Linked DNA regions of Ovis aries. The protein of the gene in region 1 interacts with the protein of each later gene in a pairwise test. Links are inferred from orthologs where the notes say so. Each region holds a gene or a part of one and is shown in the gene's direction. Other genes may lie near its edges. The genes, in order: UBE2D3, TRIM17, AMFR, TRIM27, RFWD3, ZNRF1 and ZNRF2.

What was found.
Region 2: the proteins of UBE2D3 (region 1) and TRIM17 interact in a two-hybrid assay, tested with the Homo sapiens proteins (2 studies listed by BioGRID and IntAct). The link is inferred for Ovis aries from reciprocal best matches to the Homo sapiens genes UBE2D3 and TRIM17.
Region 3: the proteins of UBE2D3 (region 1) and AMFR interact in a two-hybrid assay, tested with the Homo sapiens proteins (2 studies listed by BioGRID and IntAct). The link is inferred for Ovis aries from reciprocal best matches to the Homo sapiens genes UBE2D3 and AMFR.
Region 4: the proteins of UBE2D3 (region 1) and TRIM27 interact in a two-hybrid assay, tested with the Homo sapiens proteins (2 studies listed by BioGRID and IntAct). The link is inferred for Ovis aries from reciprocal best matches to the Homo sapiens genes UBE2D3 and TRIM27.
Region 5: the proteins of UBE2D3 (region 1) and RFWD3 interact in a two-hybrid assay, tested with the Homo sapiens proteins (2 studies listed by BioGRID and IntAct). The link is inferred for Ovis aries from reciprocal best matches to the Homo sapiens genes UBE2D3 and RFWD3.
Region 6: the proteins of UBE2D3 (region 1) and ZNRF1 interact in binary tests that used the Homo sapiens proteins (3 or more experiments, as listed by UniProt). The link is inferred for Ovis aries from reciprocal best matches to the Homo sapiens genes UBE2D3 and ZNRF1.
Region 7: the proteins of UBE2D3 (region 1) and ZNRF2 interact in a two-hybrid assay, tested with the Homo sapiens proteins (2 studies listed by BioGRID). The link is inferred for Ovis aries from reciprocal best matches to the Homo sapiens genes UBE2D3 and ZNRF2.

The regions. Positions count from the first base shown.
Region 1 is NC_056059.1:22,312,629-22,316,906, forward strand, and holds the start of UBE2D3 (ubiquitin-conjugating enzyme E2 D3), read left to right. Parts: upstream 1-1,478; 5' UTR 1,479-1,522; coding exon of another isoform or gene 1,523-1,625; 5' UTR 1,626-1,768; intron 1,769-1,849; exon of another isoform or gene 1,850-1,992; intron 1,993-4,278. Other genes in the region: CISD2 (CDGSH iron-sulfur domain-containing protein 2), read right to left, coding at 1,523-1,625. UniProt on the Homo sapiens protein: Accepts ubiquitin from the E1 complex and catalyzes its covalent attachment to other proteins. In vitro catalyzes 'Lys-11'-, as well as 'Lys-48'-linked polyubiquitination.
Region 2 is NC_056058.1:2,393,056-2,397,190, forward strand, and holds the start of TRIM17 (E3 ubiquitin-protein ligase TRIM17), read left to right. Parts: upstream 1-1,335; 5' UTR 1,336-2,185; coding exon 2,186-2,761; intron 2,762-3,267; exon of another isoform or gene 3,268-4,121; coding exon 4,122-4,135. UniProt on the Homo sapiens protein: E3 ubiquitin ligase that plays important roles in the regulation of neuronal apoptosis, selective autophagy or cell proliferation.
Region 3 is NC_056067.1:23,727,652-23,731,151, forward strand, and holds part of AMFR (E3 ubiquitin-protein ligase AMFR), read left to right. Parts: intron 1-978; coding exon 979-1,019; intron 1,020-1,179; coding exon 1,180-1,312; intron 1,313-2,901; coding exon 2,902-3,035; intron 3,036-3,500. UniProt on the Homo sapiens protein: E3 ubiquitin-protein ligase that mediates the polyubiquitination of lysine and cysteine residues on target proteins, such as CD3D, CYP3A4, CFTR, INSIG1, SOAT2/ACAT2 and APOB for proteasomal degradation.
Region 4 is NC_056073.1:29,131,340-29,133,931, forward strand, and holds the end of TRIM27 (zinc finger protein RFP), read left to right. Parts: intron 1-448; coding exon 449-1,044; 3' UTR 1,045-2,092; downstream 2,093-2,592. UniProt on the Homo sapiens protein: E3 ubiquitin-protein ligase that mediates ubiquitination of various substrates and thereby plays a role in diffent processes including proliferation, innate immunity, apoptosis, immune response or autophagy.
Region 5 is NC_056067.1:1,596,559-1,600,058, reverse strand, and holds part of RFWD3 (E3 ubiquitin-protein ligase RFWD3), read left to right. Parts: intron 1-1,537; 5' UTR 1,538-1,539; coding exon 1,540-2,117; intron 2,118-3,500. UniProt on the Homo sapiens protein: E3 ubiquitin-protein ligase required for the repair of DNA interstrand cross-links (ICL) in response to DNA damage. Plays a key role in RPA-mediated DNA damage signaling and repair.
Region 6 is NC_056067.1:1,851,305-1,855,323, forward strand, and holds the start of ZNRF1 (E3 ubiquitin-protein ligase ZNRF1), read left to right. Parts: upstream 1-1,219; 5' UTR 1,220-1,749; coding exon 1,750-2,173; intron 2,174-4,019. UniProt on the Homo sapiens protein: E3 ubiquitin-protein ligase that plays a role in different processes including cell differentiation, receptor recycling or regulation of inflammation. Mediates the ubiquitination of AKT1 and GLUL, thereby playing a role in neuron cells differentiation.
Region 7 is NC_056057.1:67,506,637-67,510,136, reverse strand, and holds part of ZNRF2 (E3 ubiquitin-protein ligase ZNRF2), read left to right. Parts: intron 1-210; coding exon 211-316; intron 317-3,500. UniProt on the Homo sapiens protein: E3 ubiquitin-protein ligase that plays a role in the establishment and maintenance of neuronal transmission and plasticity. Ubiquitinates the Na(+)/K(+) ATPase alpha-1 subunit/ATP1A1 and thereby influences its endocytosis and/or degradation.

The DNA.
Region 1 (4,278 bases):
CTCAGTTACCACTCTTTCTATTCAATTACATGCTTTCTGTCAAACCTTTTAACACCTAAAAATGTTAAATTTTCATAATCCGTTTGTCAACAAAGCAAATGTCTGTGATTATTATTTAAAGAATCTCTAGATTTAGACTAGATTTAGATCTAGTTTACCACATCTTGCCTATCCACCACCAGACACCGCCTTTTGTTTTTTTTTAAAATCTCTGAGAGGGGATAGCTCTCAAAGCACCCTATTAAGGTAAAGTATTCTCTAATTAAAAAAAAAAAAAAAGAATTCCTTTAACATGCAACTAAAATCCATGTTCAAATAACTATCACTAACTTGGCCCTAGTTGTCTTCTGGTCTACACAAAATGCATCTTTTCTTCTACCTGTCAGCCTTCCAAATACTGCATTTTAAGTCAGCTACCACAGATGTCTAAACTGCTCCAGAAGCAGCCCTATTTACCTCAAAATTATCTTAACTCATGCTTACATTCCCTGGTAATCAGTCAGAACATATGAGTTCAATGATTGCTTTATCAATAACCGCCTTCCCCACCCTCCTCCCCCCACCATCATCCTAATCAGTCCCTGAGTCTGGCTTACCCATATCTCACTTGGATTGTAAGGCTCAGAACCCAACAAAATCTTCCAAGTGTTGGCAGCATTCTGGAAATGTTCATCTTTTAGATATGAAATCCCGCGCTGTGGGTTCTATTTTGTAAAGGAGGGAACTTAAGTGCAAATGTTACATGTCATCAGTAAATTTCACTTTCTAATTTTTGGTCTGTCATACCAGCAAAAGTATCTTTCCTCCAACTCGAGTAAACTAAATTGCTTCCAGGCCCGTGATACGGTGATGACCTCAAATGACCCCGTAACAGGTTGACACTCCCCCTTGGAACTGGAATTGTCTAATTTTGTTAGTAAATAAAACCACCAAATACATGTGTATGTGTGTTTCTCTCTCACACAGACACACCCACACTATGTGGGTCAAACTCAGCCAAGAGCTGGGACAGCCTGATACACAGAGACTTTGAGCCTTGGATAACGACTTTTCCTGCTTTAAAATAAACCAGCAACGTTGCAGGGAGCGACGGAGATGAAAAAAATGGGCCTGTTCCCAACTCAGCACCTTCTCTGCAAAAACCTGGTCTCTCAACACGGAGAGACACTGCAGACAGACATGAAGATAAGCTCAGGGGGCCGCCAAGTCCCAAGATGCGGCCTCACATACACTCCGAGGATGCAGGGCCTGCGCGTGCCCACCTACTCCGCGACTGCAGTGAGAATGGTAGTGGGGTGCTGTGCTCAGTCCTGTCCGACTCCTTGCGAAACCACAGACTGTAGCTCACCAGCCTCCTCTGTCCACGGGATTCTCCAGGCAAGAATACTGGAGTGGGATCCCAGGTCACGCGCCACCCGCCAGGCTCCGCCCCGCCCCTCGGCCGAGGTCTTTCAGATGCCCGCCCCCACCCTCCGCCTGGGGAAGCTCGCAAGGATGGGGACCGGCTGAAGGCTCGGATTACCTGTGAGTCGGGCGAACCCGGTAATACTCTCGGGCACTGGAAGCCGCTTCAGATACGCGGGGAGCTGCACCTTTACGATGCGGGCCACGCTCTCCAGCACCATCCTGGCCGGCGGCGTCCGCTCCTCGCCCGACTCCCGCGGCTCTCCGGCGGAGCTGCTGCGCCTGCGCCCAGAGCGGAAGCGGCCGACCGGCGCTCTCTGCCGGGACCAGGCCGGGGCGGGGCTGGGGGCCCCAGCGCGGAGAGGTGAGCTGCCCGGCGCCGATTGGCAGCGGGCCGGTGACGTGCGCGCCCCGCGGAGGCCGAAGGGGCGCGGGCGGCCGTGGGGCAGCGAGGCCCGCCTGTGCGTCTTGAGGTGGAAGAGGGCCTTCACGGTGGGCCTTTCACGTCCGGAGGCCCAGGAAACGATACTGTGTCCGAGGAGGTAAAGCACGTGAGAGTACTGTGTAACCGGAAGGTGCCTTTCAAAAGTGAGTTTCTCCGGGCGTCGCTTTTTACCTCGGGCCACGACCCCAGAATTGCAAATTCTCCTTAGAGCACCCTTTCCGCCGAACCCCGCAGCGCCTAATTTCGCTCTCTCCCCTCTACAAATCTGGCTTCTTTTTTTTTTTTTTTAAGAAAGAAGATACCTAAACTAGGCACTGCTCACAACCTTGCTCCTAGGCTGTTTAGCCAAACTGCTCCGAGACCTTGACTCAGACCAGACCCGTTAGAGTCCTTAGTTAGATATCTGTTTTCAGTAGATAATTCTTCTTCTGTAGATCAAATTTTTTTTTTCCGGTTAACTAAAACTGGGAAAGTGGTGAAAGAATATGAAGATTTAGGGTTTCCCTTATTTCATGTTGTAGGGCTTCTGCTGCAAACTAAAGTATCCTTGGAGAGCTTTAATTTTTATTTAGGTTTATTAACACCGAAAAAATAGAAAGGAGATAGCTTCAGTCCCTTGAAGCACCTTCCTTGACATGACTTTGTTTCATGTTTTTAAAGTATCCGAAGTAATGCACTTGCTGATTGCACGTTGTGTATTTGTATCTTAATAACCCAGCCTTATTTCCTTTCTGAACCCTGCTTGACCGACAGCATAGAACAATGAACTGCACAAGGGCCAGTATTTCACCTTGTATGACTTAAAATGTAACAACCAATTGTTAATATGTAAGTTTTAAAAAATTTTTTTCTTGGTATTTCATCCTAAAGTGAAAAGGAATGTTTTTAAAGCAACTTTTCATTCTCTGGACTGTTTAATATTTGTTATCGTCCTTCACTAAAAAAATAATCCTCAGTAAGAGAATTAATTGAAATCTAGATAAATTGATTTTCTGTCATTTTACCCTGGTCAAAATTGTGCAAGTAAAATTATAATGGAAATTTCTACCAAGATGTTTAGATACAGATTCATGTTCATGAGCTAGGGTAGAAATGATGATTGAAAGGTTGGTGTTTACATTCAGATTCCTTTCAGTTTACTCCTGGGAGCTTACTTTTGATTTAGTGGAAGAAGGATCCTGGAGCTTGTTTATCCTGAAAATGATGAGCTCAACTGCCTTGTCCTTAAGACTGTTGTTTTGGGAGGTGGTTGAGGCAGGGTGGTTTGCGGGAGTGGGGCCATTAGGGGAAGAAAGCGTAGAGAGGCCACTAAAGATTCGTTTCTTATTTAGAGGCTTTGTTGTCTTGACAGGAGCAAAGCAAGCTGTGTTAAGTGAGATTCCTAAGGCCTCTAAGAAGTTTTTCTTTAAAGGATTAAGAGATACATACCTCAGTTAAGAGATATATAATAAAATGCTCAAGTGTGTAACCAACACCCAGATCCACATATACAGAATACACCAAACACACCATGGAGTCTCTCTATGTCCCTGCTAATCACATCCCCTTACCACCACCAGCACCATTCTTCCTTTACATGTTCTTACATCATATAAAAGAAATTATCCTCTATGTAGTTAAGTTATCCTCTATGTAGTTCTTTTGTGACTGACTTCTTTGAGCAGTGGATAGCTGTTTTGCTATCCAAGTAGAAGAAATGCAGTGAATAGAAGTCTATATGGATGAAACATTTTTCTTTTTTTTGTCTTAAAATTTCAAGATGTGTAGACATACATTAGCTATTTCTGATCCACTAAGTAATTATATATATGTATATATACAATGTATAAAAGGAGATAGTTCCTAACCCCACCAATTAAAAAAAAACCCTTATTGTGCATTTTAGGGAACATTTTCTTACATTCCCTTTGCTTTAAATTTTAAGTCGTGTTTTGCTGTATTTTTTAATTTCCACTTCATTTCTACCACCCTACTTTCTTGGCAGAACGTAAAGTAGAGGAGCTGAAGGTAATTGTTACAAACAGAAGTGGCAGGCTTGTCTGACCACCTTCTGATGTTGTTGTTAAGTTTCTAAGTCACCTCCAACTCTGTGACCCCGTGGACTACAACACACCAGGCTTTCCTGTCCTTCACTATCTCCTGGAGTTTGCTCAAACTCATCTCCATTGAGCCGGTGATGCCATCCAACCATCTCATCCTCTGTTGCCCCATTCGCCTCCTGCTCTTAAATCTTCCCCAGTATCATCTTCTGATGTAATACCCAACAAAATGTGGGGTTTCAAAAATTAATTAATTTGGCCATGTCACATGGTGTGAGGGACCCCAACCAGAGATGAGACCCACACCCCCTACAGAAGGTTGGAGTCTTAACCACTGGACCACCAGGGACGTCCCAAAATCTGGTTTTATTATAAGTGTTTATTTCTTAC
Region 2 (4,135 bases), on another chromosome or scaffold:
CCGCTCGCCAACGAAGCCTCCCCGTCCCCCACGTGATTACGGCCCCGCCCCTCGATCTCGGGCTCCTGCTGACGCCACAATGCCCTAAGCCCAGCGCCCTCGGATCCCCGCCCAGGTGGTTTCCATCGCCTCAAAGCAGGCTTTCCTGGGCCGCGTTTGGAGGCGTAGTTCGGGGTGCCTGGCGAGGTGCAGCGTGCACTGCTTTACCCCGTAAGCATCACCCCCTTCAGGGAGCCGGCGGGTGGTCATCTTGTGGGTGCTGAGCCTCAGGTTGGGTCCCCGTGCACCCTCTGCCCTAGTGGAGTGGCTGTCCCAGCTTTGAAGGTGGTTGTAAACTGGAACGAAGAGCCCGCTATTTTAGCCCTGCATTTACCGAGTAACATTCCGGGGTCAAGGAAGGCCCGTCTGCCATCACTGGCCCAGAGCCCTTGGATGGCTTCCCCCAGAACCTGAGCCAGAGCCTAGCGCCCAGACTGCCCCACTCTCACCCAGCTTCTGCTGGGTGGGCAGCAGTCGGGACGAAGGGCAGCTGAGAGCAGAGGGAGAGACTCACGCCAAGGGCTCTTCCCAGAGACAAAGTGGACCCATGTCAGCGATTCAGGAATCTGCAGAATCCAGCCATCATAGTTTCAGACTGCATAGAAGGGAACCTGGACAGTGCTTGCGTTAATAATTCAGAAATGATGTTTATTTATTTATTTTTGCTTAAATTTATACTGTTTATTTTTAAATTATTATTCTACAATATTGTAAAGAAGTGATGTTTAAATCCACTCTAACTCAGCCCTAACCACCACCCTGTAAAGTGCATCCAGGAGGACTGGGTCTCCACTGCATCAAGTCATGGGTATTCCAACCCAGAGTGTGTGTGCATGTGAGTTTGTGTTCAGATGTTGGTGCACGGGTCTAGGTGCCTCTGCGTGTGCCTCTCTTTGTGTGTGCCAGTCCCAAACATGCATGCACATGTACATGTGTGTTCCGGTGCCTGTGTGTGAGCACGTGTGCGTGTAATGGCCCTCTTTATCTTTTCTGCACTTCACCTTGTCAAGGAAAATCAGAGCTGGATGGTACAGGGGTGAAAACAGGTTTTATTTGGGACTATTGAAATAGGAGGAAACATTAACATAGAAACTGGGGTTTCATTGAAACTGGGGTTCTATATAGAACTAGACCTTCTATATAGAATTGTGAAGTTCAGTTCTGAATACAACATGGGCCAGTGGGGATTTTTAAGGAGTAGGGTAGGGTCAGTTACAAGAAGTTGCTAGGAGGAAACATCTTAGTAGCAGTGAGTGGTGGGGAGGGGGGGTTCTGGTTAAACCCACCTAGCAGGATTTCTGGAGAAGGCAATGGCACCCCACTCCAGTACTCTTGCCTGGAAAATCCCATGGACAGAGGAGCCTGGTGGGCTGCAGTCCATGGGATCGCTACTAGTCGGACATGACTGAGCGACTTCACTTTCACTTTTCACTTTCATGCATTGGAGAAGGAAATGGCAACCCACTCCAGTGTTCTTGCCTGGAGAATCCCAGGGATGGGGGAGCCTGGTGGGCTGCTGTCTATGGGGTCGCACAGAGTCGGACACGACTGAAGCGACTTAGCAGCAGCAGCAGCAGCAGCAGCAGGATTTCTGCTAAACTTGAACAGTGTAGAGACAAACATGTAAGTCCAAGGCTTGGTTGGAAAATTCTGGAGCCTGAGCAAGCGTTGGTTAAAGAGAGAAACTCTGTCAACCCTGCTCCCTAATGAGAGAGATGTTTCCTCTTAAACTCCCTTTTTCCTTTGTTCTGCGGAGTTCTGTTCAAGAGAAACCTATGTGCTTGTTAAAACAGTAAGCAAGGCTATTCAAGATTGTTGCAGTGCCATCTCTGGAATGCAGCTGAGACGGCTGCAGATCTGTAGCCAAGGAGCGGAGTGGTGGTGGTCAGTGATGGAAAATCACCCAGAGGTGCCCTGAGGAGAGGGGGCTTATTGCTAAACAGGCCTAAGAGGATTCTTGCTCAAGGAGGGTCAAGGACATCAATTCATTATAGGTGGGGGATGAGGAACTAGATCACATATCACAGCACATTTCACAGTACTGTGAAACTGGGTGGGGCCAGCCAAAGACAAGCCTACAGCTCAGGGGAAGCTGGCTGGGGTTTGCTGAAGGAGAGGGTCTTTGTCAGCTTCGAGAGAGACATCTATGCCCCTTATGGAAGGTGAGTCAGGGTACCCTAAAACCCCAGGTTCAGACTCCCATCTTCAAAAGGAGGCCAAGAGAGTGCTATTGAAGAGCTCAGGGCTCCAGGCAGAGCGTGTGGCAGGACACTCTATTCCTTCCCCAGGCACCATGGATGCTGTGGAACTTGCCAGAAAGCTGCAGGAGGAGGCCACGTGCTCCATCTGTCTTGACTACTTCACAGACCCCGTGATGACCACCTGCGGTCACAATTTCTGCCGAGAGTGCATCCAGCTGACCTGGGAGAAGGCCAAAGGCCAGAAAAAGAGGAGAAAGCGGAAGGGCTCCTTTCCCTGCCCTGAGTGCCGCGAGCTGTCCCCCCAGAGGAACCTGCGGCCCAACCGTCTGCTGACCAAAGTGGCCGAGATGGTGCGGCAGCACCCCAGCCCGCAGAGCAGGGACCTGTGCCCGGTGCACCGAGAGCTGCTCAAACTCTTCTGTGAGGACGACCAGAGGCCCATCTGCCTCATCTGCAGGGAGTCCCAGGAGCACCGGCCCCACAGGGTGGTCCCTATCGAGGAGGCCGTGCAAGCGTACAAGGTGGGTTCTGGCTGGGGGCCAGGACAGGGGACAAGGGTGCCCAACTATGCGTATGTGTCAAGGAGGGTATTAGCAGGGAACGGCTGCTGTAACAAATGCCCCATATGCAGGACCACACAGTGGAAGTGTTCCCTTGCTGCTGAGTCGCTTCAGTTGTATCCAACTCTGTGCGACCCCATAGACGGCAGCCCACCAGGCTCCTCCGTCCCTGGGATTCTCCAGGCAAGAACACTGGAATGGGCTGCCATTTCCTTCTCCCTTACTCCAAAACAAAGCAGGCTGGGGGCCATGCCATCTTGGGTCACCTCTATGATTATGCAGGAGTCCAGACTGACCAAGTCCCCACCCAGCCCCAGCCATACTCCCTGGTCCTTGTGCAGCCATCTGGGTGGGCAAACCAGGCAACCCCGCCCCCCCCCGACAGGCAGGGGGAGGGGAGCCTTTTCCCTCCATGCACCTGAGGCTCTGTGGCTGGGGGCCCATGAATTAGATTGAGCAAAGGCAAATTGAAGAGAAAGGCAAACTGTTTACTAACATATGCCTGCCTGCTATACCAGTCACTTGGGAGAAACTGCAGCAACAGTTTAAAAAAAAAGTCAATTAGAACTTGGGCTTATATAAGCATCTTAACAAAGAACAGTACATTTGGAGAAAAGCAACAGGACAAAGGTGAAAGCTGCAGGCTCCCAAGGGTGGCAGACTGTGGGAAAGTGTCTCAGTAACAGAATTCCACAGACTGGGTGGCTTATAACAGCAATTGCTCACAGTTGGAGGCTGACGTTGGAGATGAGCACAGTCAGGTGAGAGTCCCTTTCTGGTGCGCACACGGCCAGCGTCTCGCCGTCCTCTCTCGGGTCTCTTTTATAATGGCACTAATCCCATTCATGTGGGTCCTACTGCCTCGACCTCATCGCCTCCCAAAGGCCCCACCTCTGCCATCACACCAGGAGTTAGGGCTTCCGTATATGAATTTGGATGTCAGAGGGACACACACATTCAGGTGCTAGCAGAAATATATATAGACAGAGAGAGAGAGAGAGAGAAAGTAAAGAAAGATAGGGGGTTTTTGTGTAGGTTCATCTTGACACCAACTTGCCATCTTCTTCGTGGGCACAAACTATCCCCAGTGAGATGCTTCTGGTCAGACAATGGGAGCTCCTGGAAGGCACCTTTCTGCATCCAGCTCAAAATAATCCTTCTGCCAAAGGGACAGATTTGGGGGTTGGGGGTGGCATACTTCCATCCCTTGTACCCCATTAGGATGGTTCAGGGTGGATGCAGCTTCAGAGGGTACTGTTTGGATGTGTGGCATGCAGGGGGCCCACTGACCCCCACATTCCATGGTTTGGGTGCACCACAGTTGAAGCTGGAGGA
Region 3 (3,500 bases), on another chromosome or scaffold:
TTATAGATTTGATATTTTGAACTAAATCATGTTTTTATAGTGTTTTTCTTCTGTGCAAAATATTTTCTATTTGTAAATGAAAGTTTTCTAATCTCTAAGAATGTTTATGTTTAATTCTAGATTAAGAGGAAACTTTTCTTAGCATCAGTTTCTATAATGCAAAATACCATGAAGGTCTTATTTTGTTATTGATTTCATGCATTCGGTTTTCTTCTGTGTCAATGAACAGGGTGCAGAAAGCATTATGCAGCAGGCAGGGACTCGTAGATGTCTAGGATAGCAGGGTCTAAACCTCACCTTGGGTAAATGGTCACCAGGCATTCAGACAGCCTCTTCAGGTTATCAGTTACGATGATTCAGTGCTGTACAAAATAGAAGTGATTGTCAAACTCAGTGACCTCAAGACTGTGGAAGGCATCCCCAGGAGCTGGACAGGTGTAGTTGGTTGTCACCTATAAACAGGAAAAGGCTCAATAAAAGTTGAGTTTCTAGGTCATGAGAATATGCAATGCAAATTTGAAGCACATGGACTAAAATGGTTGGTAACTTGCTTTTTTTTTCTTTCAGTTTTAATGAGATATACAGTCTGTATAAGTTTAAGGTGTACAACATAATGATGATAATAATTTGTGAAATGATTATTACCACAATAAGTATCCTCTTAATACTCCCACAATGTTTTTTTCCCTGTGATGAAACTTTTTAGGATGTCCTCTGTTCACAACTTTGAAGTATACGACACAGCACTATTGCCTGTAGTCATGTTATACATTACCTCCCCCGTACTTATTTACCTTATAACTGGTAGCTTGTGACTGCCATCCTCCAAGTCCCCCTCACCCCCACAGCCATTGAACAACCTGCTTTTTAATTGAACTGAGAAATGTTTGTCTTTTATCATTTTGCAAAAGTTAATTTGGTCTGAGCAATCCTAAACTTTACTAAAAGGAAAAAAAAAATCTCTCTTTTTTAAAATAGTCTCTTCTTGTGACAGTGAGGACTGCTCATGTGATTTTACGGTGAGTAGAAATTTGGGAGGGAGGTGATGGAAGTCTACTCGTACAGTTGATTTTAAAATATAACGTGTAAAAAAATTGTAAAAACATGAGTCTATCCTATTTAAAACAAATTCAATTGCAACAGTAAATCATTAACACGATTCTTCTCTGTTCGTGGCAGATATGTAATTCACCTCTGGGACCTCAACCATGAAGGGACATGGGAAGGAAAGGGGACGTATGTCTATTACACAGATTTCGTCATGGAGCTCACTCTCTTGTCCTTGGACCTCATGCACCATATTCACATGTTGGTAAGTTTCCCAGAGGGAACTCCTACAGAGAGAGCTGAGGTTTTTAGAATCAGGAACTCTGTTTAGTACAGAGTTTAATAAGTGAAACATTTGTGGATGACCCACGTAAAAGACTATGAAAATGATGCAACTGTGCCCCTCCCCTTTTTTTTCTTCCTGGCCAATGGGTGTAAAACAGTGTGGAACAGCTTTGGTGCCCAGCTCAAGAGGTGCTTGCTGTCCTCCCAGGAGACTTAACTCACTCTGCTGACAAAGTCAGTAGATAATTCTTCTAGCTTGGTATTAAGAGAATTCCTCTCCTCATAGATTCTGTGGCTTCTGATCTTTAGCAGTTACTTTGTAGGTGGTAAAGGGGACTCCCACAGTGTTAGGTGCTTCATGGATGCATAAATGTTCCATCTTTGTAATTAAAAGCAAAGTCTTTATTCTTAATTTCTCCTACTTCATTGTTTGCATTTTACTTTGGTGTGCAAGAAATCACCATGTTGAAAACCTGCTTCCCTGGTTAGCACTTCAGTGATCTCAGAATGGTGAGAATCAACATATTTGATGGGCAATTTGTTTATATAGTAAGCCAGTCAAAGTAGCATTTAAAAATTTGGGAGTTGAACATAGCACATTTCTAAGTGTACTTTTAAAAAATGACTTTGAAAATGTACTTTAAAAAAAAAGCCCCCCCCCCACCCCACCAACAAATGTCCAAAGTTAAGTGTTGACTTTTTTTGGTGGTTACTGCTTCTTTATTTATTCACAGCCATATGTTCATCATGTATTGGGCATATAGCTTAGGTTTTTGTAGCTGTTGTATTCTGTGCACCTTCCTATGCTAGCAACATTTCTTCTAAATCATTTTAATACCTTTAAGATAAAAATTCCGCAACAGAAGTATGATGATTTAATTGAAATACATTATACAGCGCTGTTATGACTATAGTTATCATGTCGTATGTTACATCCCCACTAAGTTTTTATCTTATAACTGAAAGTTAGTACCTTTTGACCACTTTCCTTCCTTCAATTCTCTACCCCTAGCTGTTGAACACCCTGATCCCATAATGAGTATTTAGATTTTATTCAGTTGTTTGCCTCTTCACATCTTTATATAATTTTTTGGTCATATATTATTTTTTTTGAAGTACTTTTTTCCTCTTTTCACTTAAAATATTATTTACCCATTTTATTAATCTTCAAAATGTTATATATACAATATAATAGGATATAATTATATTTTATGATACATGTAATGAATATATAATATTACATTATGTGAGTTCACAGTATAACTGTTCCCCTGCTGGGCGTTTGGTCTGTTTCCTGATTTTCTGTTTTATAATTGCATGAATGTACATCATTTGGCATAAAGCTTTAAACTTTCTGGTGAGTTCCTCAGAACAGATGGCTGTGGATGGAATGAAGAGCATGGGCAGTGTTGAGAGTCGTGAGAGAAGTATGCGCGTTTGCTTCGCCAGTGCCTGCTCCTGCTCACCTTTACCCACGACTCAGACCTTCCGTCGCTGGCCTCGCCCTTAGCGCTAGCCAGTTCGCGTTGACCCTTATTGTGCATTCTACTCTCTCTCCCTCTCATCAAGTTGTTTGGCAACATCTGGTTGTCCATGGCCAGCTTGGTCATCTTCATGCAGCTGCGTTACCTGTTTCATGAAGTGCAGCGTCGCATCCGCCGGCACAAGAACTACTTGCGAGTGGTCGGGAACATGGAAGCCAGGTGAGTCAGCAGGTTGACACGTTTGAGATCTTTAATAATGACGGAGCCTGGGTTATATCCCTGCTTTTTTCAGCTGTTAATGGAATGGTGAAGAGTGCAGGCTCGGGAGTCAGGCTGCCTAGATGTGAAGCCTGCTTAGTTACCGTGTGATTCTGGACAATTTACTTAGCTCCCTGTGCCTGGGTTGCTTAAGACTAGGGATAATAATACCTTCTTCCTGGAATGTTGGGTGGATTCAGTGGGATAATGAACATAATATACTTAGAACAGTACTGGATAAATATTAGGTTCTTTTATTACATCGTTATTTTTATCATCATTATTTTTAAATGGAAGTCTCCTTGGGCTTCTGCCCTTTTTATTCCTTACACATGCATGCTTACATCCACACACACAAACATACATTCTGTCTCTCACACTCTTAACCTCACTGAGGTGTTCACTTGGCATCCTGAGACTAAACCC
Region 4 (2,592 bases), on another chromosome or scaffold:
GCACTATTTAGTGTCTTTATCTGATATAATGTGAATATCCATATGTTTCACAGCAGATCTGTTAGTATTGGTTGTAGAGTGCTACACCACACCCTCTCTGTCTAAATACTGTAAACTTCTGGACCCTGTGGCTTTCGGATTAAGGGGTTGGACATACACATAAGAAAACCTTAAATTCAGCTTATAACGGATATTGTGGTTTAAAATGTGGAAAAGCAAGGTAAAAATTTCAGTACTTCCAGTATATCCTAGCTAAATGAGATAACTACCTAATCCAAACAGTAATTTTGGGAATGTCAGCTTCAGGGTGGACTTAAATGTATAAAATGAATGTGTCTTTGCTGGAGAGCTCTTACTCTCTTCTCAGGGATAGGAGAAAAGCTGAGTGTTCAGAGTGGGCTGTCCTGGTGCTTGGCTAATCCTCCTCTGCCCCTGTATTTCTCTGCAGTGGATGTGACTCTGGACCCAGACACAGCCTACCCCAGCCTGATCCTCTCTGATAACCTGCGGCAAGTGCGGTACAGTTACCTCCAGCAGGACCTGCCCGACAACCCTGAGCGGTTCAATCTGTTTCCCTGTGTCTTGGGCTCTCCATGCTTCATCGCTGGGAGACACTATTGGGAGGTAGAGGTGGGAGATAAAGCCAAGTGGACCATAGGTGTCTGTGAAGACTCAGTGTGCAGAAAAGGTGGGGTAACCTCAGCCCCCCAGAATGGATTCTGGGCAGTGTCCTTGTGGTATGGGAAAGAATACTGGGCTCTCACCTCCCCAATGACTGCCCTCCCCCTGCGGACCCCTCTCCAACGGGTGGGGATTTTCTTGGACTATGATGCTGGCGAGGTCTCCTTCTACAACGTGACAGAGAGGTGTCACACCTTTACTTTCTCTCATGCTACCTTCTGTGGGCCTGTCCGGCCCTACTTCAGTCTGAGTTACTCTGGAGGGAAGAGCGCAGCTCCTCTGATCATCTGTCCCATGAGTGGCATCGATGGGTTTTCTGGCCATGTTGGGAATCATGGTCATTCCATGGAGACCTCCCCTTGAGGAGGTGAACTCAGGCCAGAAGGGCTGCTGGCTGTACTCCCACCCCAGGCATGAGGCATCTTGTTGCCTTGCCACTTCCTGCCCATCACAGCTGGATGTTCTTACCACTTTCCGTGCCCTGCAGTGCAAGACAGGATGTCTGTGTTCTCTGCCATCCCCCCCTTCCCATGAAAATTGTGAGATGTAATAAGTTATCGAGATTGCCCAGAAATAAAAACCAGATGTCCACCTCCAGTGTTCCACACTTCTTGGTCTTATACATTACTGGAGGGGATAAAGAATATGGATAATCTTGGGTTAGGAGAGCCATTCAAGATTCTTACACCTGGGCTCAGCCCCATATAGTGATCATGGGTATTTGCTGTCGTTTCTGAACCAGGGCTTCTTTCTGAGAACCCACAGCTGGACTAAAGTCCTGTCAGCATGGATCCCTTTGTCCCAGTTTTTCCTTTGGGATTAGTACCTCTACCCCTGATTCCCAATCTGCTGTAGTTTTATTAACTCCATTAAAGAGGCCTGTATGTGTTTTGATTAGTTACAGTTATTTTACAGTAATGGTGGGAAATAGCCCCACCTCTGTTAGGAGATAATATTCTAATCAATGTGCTCTTTGCCTCTATCTTTTTGAGGGCTTTGTCAGCTCCCTTCATTCTAATGAAAAGTGTATCCTAGTCCTGGATGCACATCATCCGGGATTATTTTCTGCTCAACACCACTCATTGTTCCTACCTCCCATCCCACTTCCATTTGTGGACTGATGGTCAGTCATACCCTATCCCTGGAAGGATTCTGGGGCAATATTCCAGGGGATTCATTGACTTGTCTCCATTTCTCCCTTCTATTTCAAGGGAAGAGGGAGTTTACCTTTCTGATGTGTGTACCATCAAGGGGCTATTCCATCCCTATGGCCATTGGATCACGAGGCATTCTGAGGTCAGAAAGCCAAGGCAGATCACTTAGCACAAGCCCCCATGATGGTTCTTAGTCTTCTCTTTCTTTGGGTACATGCTCCTCTGTTTAAAAATAAAGTGAGTATGGATGTTGTTTACACTGTTGTTATTTTCTGGGTCTTGGTAGGACTGGGTTCATAGATATTGGAGGAAATCAACACTATTAACCTCTATGGTTTGAGAATCTCATTCTGGTCAGTATTTTACTTTCAACTGGATGATAAAAACAGTACCATGTCACTGCTTTCTACTGGTGCTTGGAAACTAGTGTTGGACTTCCATAGCCTACAGCTTTGTATTGGCTAATCCTGTCACGTCTCTGGAAAAGTGTTCTCTCAAGTGCTTATAACTGACAGTGGGGTATGCAGCAATGCTTGGTATAGATCAGAGCGCCCAGAGCTTGCTTCCCACCTCAGAAGCAGCAGCCTAAGCCCTTAGGGTCATGGAGGGCACCACATTCTAAGGAGGAAAAATATGCTGAGAGGACAGCTCTTTTCCAGGAGGTTTTCGATCTTTTCTGCTTTTGGACATGACCTCAAGATGACAAGATTTTGTGGTCTTAGTCTTGTACCCAACATTGTGGTTCATGGCTGAAGAT
Region 5 (3,500 bases), on another chromosome or scaffold:
TATGCTGACCACTCCAGTCTGGCCTCTACTCATCACTTTGGGGAAACAGCTCTTTTCTAGATTATCTGTCACCTCTACATTGCTAAATCTAGTGGTCATTCTTCCCCTCAGTAGCACTTGACACACTTGACTGTCCCCTCCTTGCATCATTCTTCCAAGACACCACACTCTCCCAGGTTTTCTCCTACCTCATGGTCTTGGTTTCTGGGTTCTCTTCCTATAACTGTTATCCTTTTAATGTCTCTGGTATTGGTCCTTGGCCTGCTTTTCTTCTATCTCAACTCCTTCTTAGGTAGTTAATCTATCCCAAGATTTTAAGTGGCATGACTATACTGAGGATTCTTAAAGCTGTCTACTGTTCCATCTCCACTGCTACTAGTCTTGCCTCTGTGACCACTAGTTTATACTCTCATAATAGCCTATGAAGTGGTCACTTTGCCTGCACTTTTCCTCCCTTACAGTCCATTCCTAACGCAGAAGAAACTCCTTACCAAGGTCTTCTAGTGAAAGTGTTGTGTATCATCAACTTTACTCCTCATATTAAACCTCATACTGTCTGCTCTTTCTTACTATTCTCGTTATGCTGGGCTTCCTAGTTTCTCTGACGCACTAAACCCATACTTAGCAGACACCTTGTATTAATTTTCTTCTGAAACTCTTTCTTGGCTCTTCATACGGCCAACTTCTTTTAATCCTTCTTGTCTTGGTTTAATTTTCACTTATAAGAGGCCACCTCTCACTGTTGTGTCTTGCCCCCCACTCTCAAAACCAAATGGCACAATATATAATTTTTCACAATGATTTGTTTATTCTCTCATTTGCTAGAATGTAAATTGTATTATGCTGGGTCTTGTCCACTTATCTGTTTGCCTCTGTGGAGTGTCTGACTATATGACAGATGCTTAAATATTTCTTGAAAAATAGACTAACGTAGTGGAGTAGAGACAGGAAACAAATAATGAAAGGAACATAACCAGTGCTTAATAAATATTTGTTGAATGGACTAACAAATGGACTTAGAGATAGAAAACAAAAGTAATGAAAAAGTTGAAGTAAATAAAGGTTGCTCAGCCTTTTTGGAGGAAATAGGTTAATTTCTATTTTGAGTTATTAATTGAGTTATTTTGTGGAAATGTTCTTTCTGTGTTTATTTTTTGCACTTTAGTGCCATGAAAGATGAATATTGCCTACTAAAATTAAATATAGCATTGTATGCATTTGTTGTAGTAAATGTCCATATATAGGTCATGACAGAACTGCAAGAGGTCTGGGGGATTATTTTCAATAGTTCAGTTCTCTTATTTTATAGATTCTTTTAAAGACTAGTGCTGTGATCACATGACTTTATGTTTTCGAAGGGCAAACAGGATAACTGGTTAAAAGTCCTTATAAGAAAAGAGCTAAAATCATCTTTTAAGTTTCTCAGTTTTATCAAGAATGATCTTAAACAAGTATTAAATGATAGACATAATTAGATAAAACATGCCACGTAGCTGATACATTTTACTAATACTTTTTACAAATATTGCTTCCTCAGTGATGGCTCATGAAGCAATGGAATATGATCTTCAGGTGCAATTAGATCATGGTGCTGCAGATCAGCCTGCTCCTGCGGAAGTGGTCAGCAGCCAAGGGGGACCACCCCTGCTCCAGCCTCCTCATACTGAGGAGGTCAGCAGCCAGGAGGGACCACCCGTGTTGCATCCTATACTTGCTGAGGTGGTCAGCATCGAAGGAGGACCACCCCTGCTCCAACCCATTCCTGAGGAGGTGATCAACAGCCCAGAGAGAGTGCCGCTGCTTCCGCCTATTCCGCAGATATCTGTTGATCTGACAGAGGAAGTGGAGCTCTCAGGAACAGAGACTGTGGGGAACCTCAATCCAGGAGTTTTAGAGGAGTTTAGGCTGGAATCTGATGCTAACCGCACTCCCCAAGTGCCTTCATTGGATTCAATGAACAGCTTCATCAGTGGGCTGCAGAGACTTCATGGCATGCTGGAATTCCTGCGACCAACTTCAGACCGCAGTGTGGGGCCCGTGAGAGCGAGGAGGAATAGGAGGAGTTCTGCTTCACGGAGGGCAAGAGCAGGAGGGTCCCAGAGGACAAACAGTGCCAGGTAAATAGAAATGTAAATAGTGGGATTAGTACCTGATTGGGAATTATGAACTTTAGGCCCTGATGATAGCCCCAGTGCTGCCAGGAATTGGCATTGTGACTTGGCAAGTCGGGTAACCTTTCGGAACCCCCAGTACCTCATAAGTCAGATGAAAATGAAATTACTTGGTTTATTTACTTCACAAAGTAGTGGAGAGGATAAAGGTATACAGATAGGTTTTGAAAACTTGTTGGTAGTTTGTTAGCAGTGGTGTCTGCAGAGGCTGGCTTTTCTTTCGATCATTTGTCTCTTGTACATCAAATATATACATATATATATTTAACTTGCAAGTCCACTCCACTTGCCCAAGATTCATTGTTCATTGGCACTCCACTTAGTGGTACAGTAGATTTTGTAAGATGGGCAGGCTGGATTTAGAGAACCCTTGTGAAAAGTAGAGTGTGAATTAATATAGAACTTATCTGACTAAGTGGGAAACATTCTAGCCCTCCTCTCCTGAAACTGTGTTGTAGAGTTAAAAATAATTTTCTTCTATAGGTTTTGGTTTGAACTTGCCTCTTGAAGGGGTTAGCTGTCAAGTCTTGACAGTTATTATGAAGAATAACAGTTGTCTATATTTTAATCTGTTTTTTAACTTCTGCTTTATTTGAAATACTTAGTTCCACAGCTGGCTTTCTAAATGTCTTCATAATGTTGAAAGAAATTGAATTCAACCTTTTCATTTTAAATGTGAAAGAAACTTGGACCCTGAGAGAATGATCTATTCAGGGTCTCGGAGTTGACAGTACAGAGGAAGTTAGAGCTGATGTTGGAACCTGGATCTGACTGTTGTCTACAAAAGCAAATAAAGGAAGCTTCAATCAGATCCATTTCTCTAACACTGTGAAAATAATGAGAGGCTTCCATGGTGGTCCCGCGCCTAAGACTCTGCACTCCCAATGCAGGGGGCCTGGGATCAATCCCTGGTTAGAGAACTTAATCCCACATGTGGCAACTGATAGTTTGCATGCCACAACTAAGACCCGGCACAGCCAAACAAATAATAAAAAATAAATATTGAAAAGAATGAGATGGCACTAAATAGTGGTAGCTGGGCCATCTGTTATCTGTGTTTTACAAATGAGGAAGATGATGGGGTGATTTATGATTTGACTGAGATAACCCTGGACTTGGAATTGTGCCTTCTGATTTTGGATTTCAGCATCCTTTTCAATGGATCCTGCTGATTAGTGTATCAGGGCTGCTGTTACTGTGGCTGTAGTCTCTAATGCCTGGTCAGTGCTGGATGTGATCCATCAAGGGTGAGAAGAGCCTAGTTCTGTGTTGACAGGAGTTGCAAGTGCATGCTGCTCTGTTATTTTAAGGTGCCATTTACAATGATTT
Region 6 (4,019 bases), on another chromosome or scaffold:
CATTTGGATCTTAGCTGTATACAAATTCCCCATTTGGAAACTTACAGATAATGTTTTGGGTATTAAAACATTGTTTTTTCCTTCATCATTTCTCATACAGAAATCTCAACTTCCTTCTGCAGGGCTTTTTGCTGCTTGCAAAGGCCGCCTATTCCTTCCAAGCTGGTCACACTGAGACAATCAATACCTATGACAGATCAACCTTTCTTTTTTCAGTTTTAATATTTCTTTGCACCCTGTTTTGGCTCCTTGATTTGGAAGTATCTGACATTTAGAACAAGGAAGTCAGTTAGACCAGGGACTGAGTGACAGACAGTCCTAGGCAGCACTCAGCACTTAAAAAAATAGCTGTTGAACAAATGAATGAACGAAAGAATGGAATGAGTGAGTGAATGTGAATATGTGAGGGAGACATTGCAAAACGCAGACTCGGTGAGCAAATATTGGGTACCTGCTGTGTCCCAGGCCCTGCGATGCATACCTGGATAAACGGTAAACAAAACAGGAGTCCTTCCTTGAACCAGGGAGTTTCTAAAATCACTAGTTCTAGCTGCATTATTAGATTTCCACGTCTGTTATTTTTTTTTAATCGTACACCTGATGATTTTCAGAGTCGCATTTTATCTTAAGGATCTACCCATTTGCTTAAGTCCAAAATAGGAAGTTCTGATCTATTGGCAGCAAAATCTGAAATCACAAGCAACACCCCCCCTACACACCCCCCAGCCCTGTTTAATCCCGGAAAAACTATCGAGCCCCAAAACGCTAAACTTCCTGGTGTTGGGGATTCCAGGACATTGAACCTCAGATAGAACGGACAGCAAGTCCACCAGAGGGTGCTGCGGGGGCAAATTCGTGCCGGGAAGGGAGCTTGACCAGTGACCCTCGGGGCTAGGTAGGCGTCTGGAGTCCTTTTTCTTCTTCCCCGGGTTTCTTTCCCACCCTTTGGACCACCGCCGCCCCTCCGCCCACGGGGGGATTCCCCCTGAATGACCAGCTGCTCTTGGGGGCTTAAAGGTGCCGCGTCGCCTCTGGTCCTGAGCTCCAGCGGCTCGGACCACGCCTGCCCCGGGGCCATCGGACAGGGCAGGGCCGGGCCGGGCGGGGCGGGCGAGGCGTCCACGCCCCGAGTCCCCGCCCGGCGCCGCGCGGGCCGCGAAGGGGTTAACGCGGGGGGCGGGGGCGGGGGCGCCGCCGCGCCTGCGCGCTGCCGCCCTCCATTGTCTCCGCGGCGGCGAGGAGCGCCGGCGAGCGCAGCCCGGGAGCGAGCGGCGCGGCCGGCGGGGCCCGCGCGGCAGGGCCGAGAGCGCGACGCGAGCGCGGCTTCGCGAGCTCCGCGGGCCGCCGGCGCCGCAGCCCGCCCGGGCCTCGGGGGTCCGGGCCGCCGTCCCGGCCGCGGCGTCTTGAGGCGGCACGCGCCGGCGCCCCCGCCCTCCTCCTCCGGCGGCCGCTGCCGGGCGGGCGGCCTCCTCCCCGCGGCGCCCGGCCCTCGGGAGCCCGGGGGCGGCCTGGGGCGCGCCGAGCCCGCGCGCCTCGCCTCTCCGGACCTTGAGGGGAATCATGCGCCGGGCTCGGGACGCCTGCAGCCCGTAGTCTGGGTCCTGCTCGGGTCCTCTCTTTTTCCTTTTTCCCTTCCCCTCCGGTCTCCTTTTTGCTCCCCCGTATGCCCGCCCAGCCCTGCCCCCGCCGCTGAGGACAGGGGGAGGGTCTCGGCCTGCAGGCTCCCGCCCCGCCGGGGCCCGGGCGAGCATGGGCGGCAAGCAGAGCACAGCGGCCCGCTCGCGCGGCCCCTTCCCGGGGGTCTCCACCGACGACAGCGCCGTGCCCCCGCCGGGAGGGGCGCCCCACTTCGGGCACTACCGGGCGGGCGGCGGGGCCATGGGGCTCCGCAGCCGCTCGGTCAGCTCCGTGGCGGGCATGGGCATGGACCCCAGCACGGCCAGCGGGGTGCCCTTTGGCCTCTACACCCCCGCCTCCCGAGGGACCGGCGACGCCGAGAGGGCGCCCGGCAGCGGAGGGTCGACGTCCGACTCCACCTATGCCCACGGCAATGGTTACCAGGAGACGGGTGGCGGTCACCATAGAGACGGGATGCTGTACCTGGGCTCCCGAGCCTCGCTAGCGGATGCTCTACCTCTGCACATCGCACCCCGGTGGTTCAGCTCGCACAGTGGTGAGTCCGCGGGCGCCAGAGGCCTCGGAGGGTGGGGTGCCAGGGAGGGCGCGCCGAGGTGCCCCGCACCTTCGCACGCGTGCACGCAAAAGGTCTGGAGGTAAAAGTGCGGTACCTGGATCTGGCTGTCGTCCTCTTGGTTCCCGAAGCCAAGGGATGAATGGAATACCCACTCTCTAGAAATGAGGCTTTCTGAGAGGCCGAGGAGAGCCAGGTGTGTGAGGACTTCAGGCGTTGGTTCACTTGTGGATGCCTGTTGAAGTCTCATTCATTGGCCTCCCCGTCCTCAGAGAAGTCTGGCTGGTCGCAAGTCGGCCTCCGTGCTTCCTTTCTGTTACTGCTGCATTGTGCTGGGTGCACCGGTAACACAGAAGGGATCCAATTGGACCGAGCATCTCAGACAAAGGATGTGAAGAGAAGATTGGGGCCAAGTGGGGTTTGGATGAGGGCACTTGCTCTTGCTGGAGAAGTGGGTGCCCAGTTTTGCGGCTGTGCTGGAAATCTGAATTGTTTAAAATGGAGCGGCCGACAGGCTGCTGCCATAGACAGGTGTGGCCTGCTGGTCGGAGGGCGCAGCCAGGGAGCCTCCCTGGGAGGCTTTGCGTGACTGGGGCCCTGGTTACCCGTGCTGCATGCAGTAGCAGCCTTGGCTCAGTGTCTCTTGGATCCCTCCATCTTTCTTCTTCTCCTCCATGCTGAAGTGCTTGGGTATTCTGCATCTTCTTGTGACCAAGACATGGCAGTTCTCTTGCACTGCTGTTGGCACATGTCGGGGGGAAAGGAGGAGTCAAAGGACCTGGATGAATTCATTTTGTGAACTTCTGGTGACAGGTCAGCAAAAAGCTGGAGGAGGATTTCCTAGACTCTGGCAGGGCAGAAAAGACACTGGCAGGAGCTTCTGGAGGAAAACAGGTCTGTCTGCTTAGCTAACCTGAGAAACCAGGTTAGGCCTCCAGAAAATTGGTCAGAAGGGGTGTGGGGCTGCTATTTACTAATTGGCGAGTTGGAGTAAAGAAGTTAACATATTCAGACTCCTTTGGGCGACTTCAGAAAATTTAGATACTGTGTAGAAGAAAGATTGCTCTATGGAGGATTTATCTGTTGGATCACTGCTTGCTCTTGTGAAATAGGGGAGACACTTTGGATCTCTATTTCTGGAAATAATGTTAATTTTTTTTTCAGTTCTTTAAACCGATTGTGAAATGAGTTTTCGGGAGGAATAGTGACTAATTTAGGGTAATCCTTGAAAGTGGCTTTTAATTGCTAGGATGGAATTTTAATCCCTGAACAGACTTCTAGATATAATTTGGACACTGCCCTGAAGAGATGTAGGGTGTGATTACCTCTGGCACTTTCAGACATCATTTGATCAGCTTTAGACATCTTAAACTTAGTAATCTTCCTTATAAAATTTGGTCCAGAAAGGGTCAGGTGTATTTTTGAGGTGATTGTAGTTAAGTTTTTAAGAAAGCTGTCATTAGTGTCTGAGTTTAAACAGAAAAGCACTATAAGACAGTTCTCAAAAGTCACAGGTAGAATTTTGTGTGTTGCAGGAATGTAATCTTAGAGTAGGAGTTCCCTTTTTCCACTCAAATTTCTTTTCTTTTACCAGAAAGTTCTTTTTCCTTATTCCGCCACCAGGTTCCATGCCAGAGTTATGAGCTTGCATTTGGATTCTAAAATTCAGACTCTTCAGCTGTAAAACGTTAATTTTTTTTTTTTTCCTTTTTCCAGCTAGAGGTTAGGAAGACCTGCTGAACCAGGGACTACAGGGAAAGTTGAAGCATATTAATCCCTTGAGGGATTGACATTGAAGTGTGTGTTGGGGGGGGCTGCTGTTAATATT
Region 7 (3,500 bases), on another chromosome or scaffold:
ACTGTAATGCCTCCGTGAAATCTAAATGAAATTGAGAGACACTGTAAGTAAAGGTAAACATTGTTTAGTGAGTTACAAATAGTATTTCAAATATAGGTGCTGAATTTTATGTGCTTCTGACAAAAATATGCCAGACACCACTCTGTATAAGTCAGCATTCACATAATTCTTTTAGTTCTGTTGTCCTAAATGCATTTTCTTTTTTCTCAGAGGACGTACTGAGTAAAGATGCTGGGGAATGTGCAATATGCCTTGAAGAACTGCAGCAGGGAGATACTATAGCACGGCTGCCTTGTCTGTGCATATATCATAAAGGGTGAGTTTGCTTTTATGTCAGCCAAATTGATATTAGACTAAAAGACTTTGCTCAAAGTTTCAAATTTTGTAGTTACGGATGAAAGGTTTCTTCTTGATTGAAACTCCCTTCCCCCATTTCTTTAAAAAAAATTAAAAAGGCTTTTTTTCCCTTGTTGGTAATAAAAATCTGTTTACATCTCATAGTCTACCATTTGTTAAGCATTTACTATGACCCAGGTATTGTCTGTAGCTTCTTGAATAGGTTATCTTATGTAAGCATTACAACAGTCTCATTGTACCGTTGAGGAAATAAGCTGGGGGGCATGGTCACATGGCTAGGAATAAATGAAAGAACTGAGATTCCAGCCATGTCTGTTTGACTCCAAAGCCCATCTGGTTTCTGATAAAGTGTTTTGGTTTTAGGGCAACAAGGAAAAATTTGATTTAAGATGATTTAAAGTAAACTACAAAAAGAACAGAAAACTATAACTTTAAAAGCAATAGTGGAAATAACTTGGAATTTTATTTAAAAGCAGGGTGTGGACGTTGGAGAAAATAGTAAATAGTACCAAAACAAAGAGGCAAAAATAGATCCAATATCAGGAATTATAATAAATCCAAATGGTCAAACTAACCAGGTGAAAACAAATCAAAAGGTTGGAATATGCTGTTGATGAGCAGCACACTTAAACATAAGGGTACAGAACAATATGGACTTAAAGGGATAGAAGACTATATCCAGGCAAATGTTAAATAAATAAAACTGACAAAGCTAAATTAATATTGGAGAAAATTAACTTTATTGAAAAAAGTATTACTAGTGTTATATGATGATCCATGAATGAAGTTGCTTAGTCATGTCCTGACTCTTTGCGACCCCATGGACTGTAGCCCACCAGGCTCCTCCATCCACGGGATTTTCTACGCAAGAATACTAGAGTGGGTTGCCATTTCCTTCTCCAGGGGATCTTTCCGACCTGGGGATCTAACCCGGGTCTCGCGCATTGTGGGCAGACGCTTTACTGTCTGAGCCACCAGGGAATCCCTCCATTATCATTATCAATCCCTCCAAATCATTATATGATGATAATAGTATATAAAAACTACATTCTTTCCTGCACCAGAGAACACAGTCTCAAAGTAAAATATTTGTAGAATGGTTAGAAAAAATTGAGAAATCATCATGGTAATTGAAAATTTGAATATACTTCTCATTGAGTCAAACAGGCGTACACATAACTAGTTAAGACCTAGAAAAATTGAACAGTACGGTGAACAGATTTGATCTCATGAGTATTAATGGATGTATCTACACTCAGCAATTTAGAGAATACATTTTCTTGCCAGGAACATACAAAATATTGTAGAAATTGGTCATGTACTAGGCCACAAGGCAGATCTTAGTAAACCACAAAAAGCTGGTACCATACAGAAAGCTGTTTTGTTCTCTGAGCGCAGTTAGATGTCAATGACAAAAGATAAATGATCTTCACAAATACTCTTAAGTAACTTATAGATCAAAGAAGAAATCATAATGGAACTTAGAAAATATTCTGAATAATAATGAAAACCTTCTCAGCATTTTTCTAGGGTGATCCTTGCAAGATTTGTGTTACTGTGGAAAGAAAGACTGGAAATCAATAGTCCAAGATTTTACCTGAATTAGAAAATTGATAGCAGGATAAACACAAAGGAAACAAAGATCAGAGAAGAAAAAATTGAATGAAAAAATTATACACTAGAATAGAGACTAACAAAGTCAAAAGTTGATTCTTTGAAAAGAATAATAAAATAGGTTAGCCACTGGCAAGATTGTGTCTAGAAGGAAAAAATAAACAGTGTTAGAATGAAAAGGAACACATAACTTTAGATATAACAGGAATTAAAATAGTTGGAAAATTCTGTGAAAAATTTTATACTTTTCACCTAAAAATTTTAAAACAGGTAATTTGCTTAGAAATATAATATTGTCCAAAATGACTCAAAAAGAAATAGGAAATCCAAATAAAGTAGTAACTATCCTAAGTAGTTATTAAGACTAGCCCCCGAAAGTAACAACTGGTTTTTAAAAAGCCGAAACAAAACACTAAAGACAGGCCTACCATGACAGTTTGATGGCAAGTTGACCACGTAGCCGAACATGGGGTGGGCTTCCGTGATGGCTCAGTGGCAGAGAGTCTGACTATGATGCAGGAGACGCCAGGTCTGTCCCTAGGCTGGGAAGGTCCCCTGCAGAGGGAAATGGCAGCCCGCTCTAGTATTTCTTGCCTGGGAAACCCCATGGACAGAGGAGTCTGGCGAGCTACAATCCATAGGGTCACGAAGAGTCGAACATGACTTAGCAACTAAACAGCTACAACAAAACACTGTGTTAATAATCATAAATTCCTCCAAAAAGTAGATAATGATGGACGGTTCTCCCACTTATTTTATGAGTATAGTATATACTTGATACCCGTGTCAGACAAGAACAGTATAAGAAAGAAAACTAAAAGACACTCTCATTTATGAACATAAATGCAAAATCTGAAAACATAGTAGCAAACCAAGTTCATCAGTATATATGTAAAATAAAGCCTCTTGACCAAATTGGATTTATGTTATTAATAGTGATGTAAAAACACTATATGATTAGAAAATTTGTGTATATAATTTACCTCATTAGCAAAGGAAGAAGACTATATTAATAAACTCTATTTGCTATTAATTTAAAATCAAAAGCAAATAATAACAGATAATATGTTAAAATTAATAAGAATTTAGCTAGGTTGTCTGATAGGAGCTCAACATATGAAATAAGTTGCATTCATATCCCAGTAAAAAAATACATATATATATAACTTTTAGGATAATAACATTAATAGCAACAGAAACTGCAACAGGAATAAGATTTATTAAGAATAAATCTTACAAAAAGATATTCAAGATTTTAAAACATTCCTCGAAGATATTATAGAAAGTCTAAAATAAATACGTGGCATACGATTTTGTGGATGGGAAAACTCAATATCATAAAGATGTCACTGCACCCAAATCTATGTAGTTAATACTATTTCAATCAAATCTCAACTAGTTTTTTCAGATAGCTTGACAAGTTGTTTCTTACATATATATGGACAAAAGAGCAAAGGGTCAGGAATAGTCAAGACAATCATAAAGAAGTAAGTGATGTTGGGTGGTGGTGATGGGGTACTTATCCTATA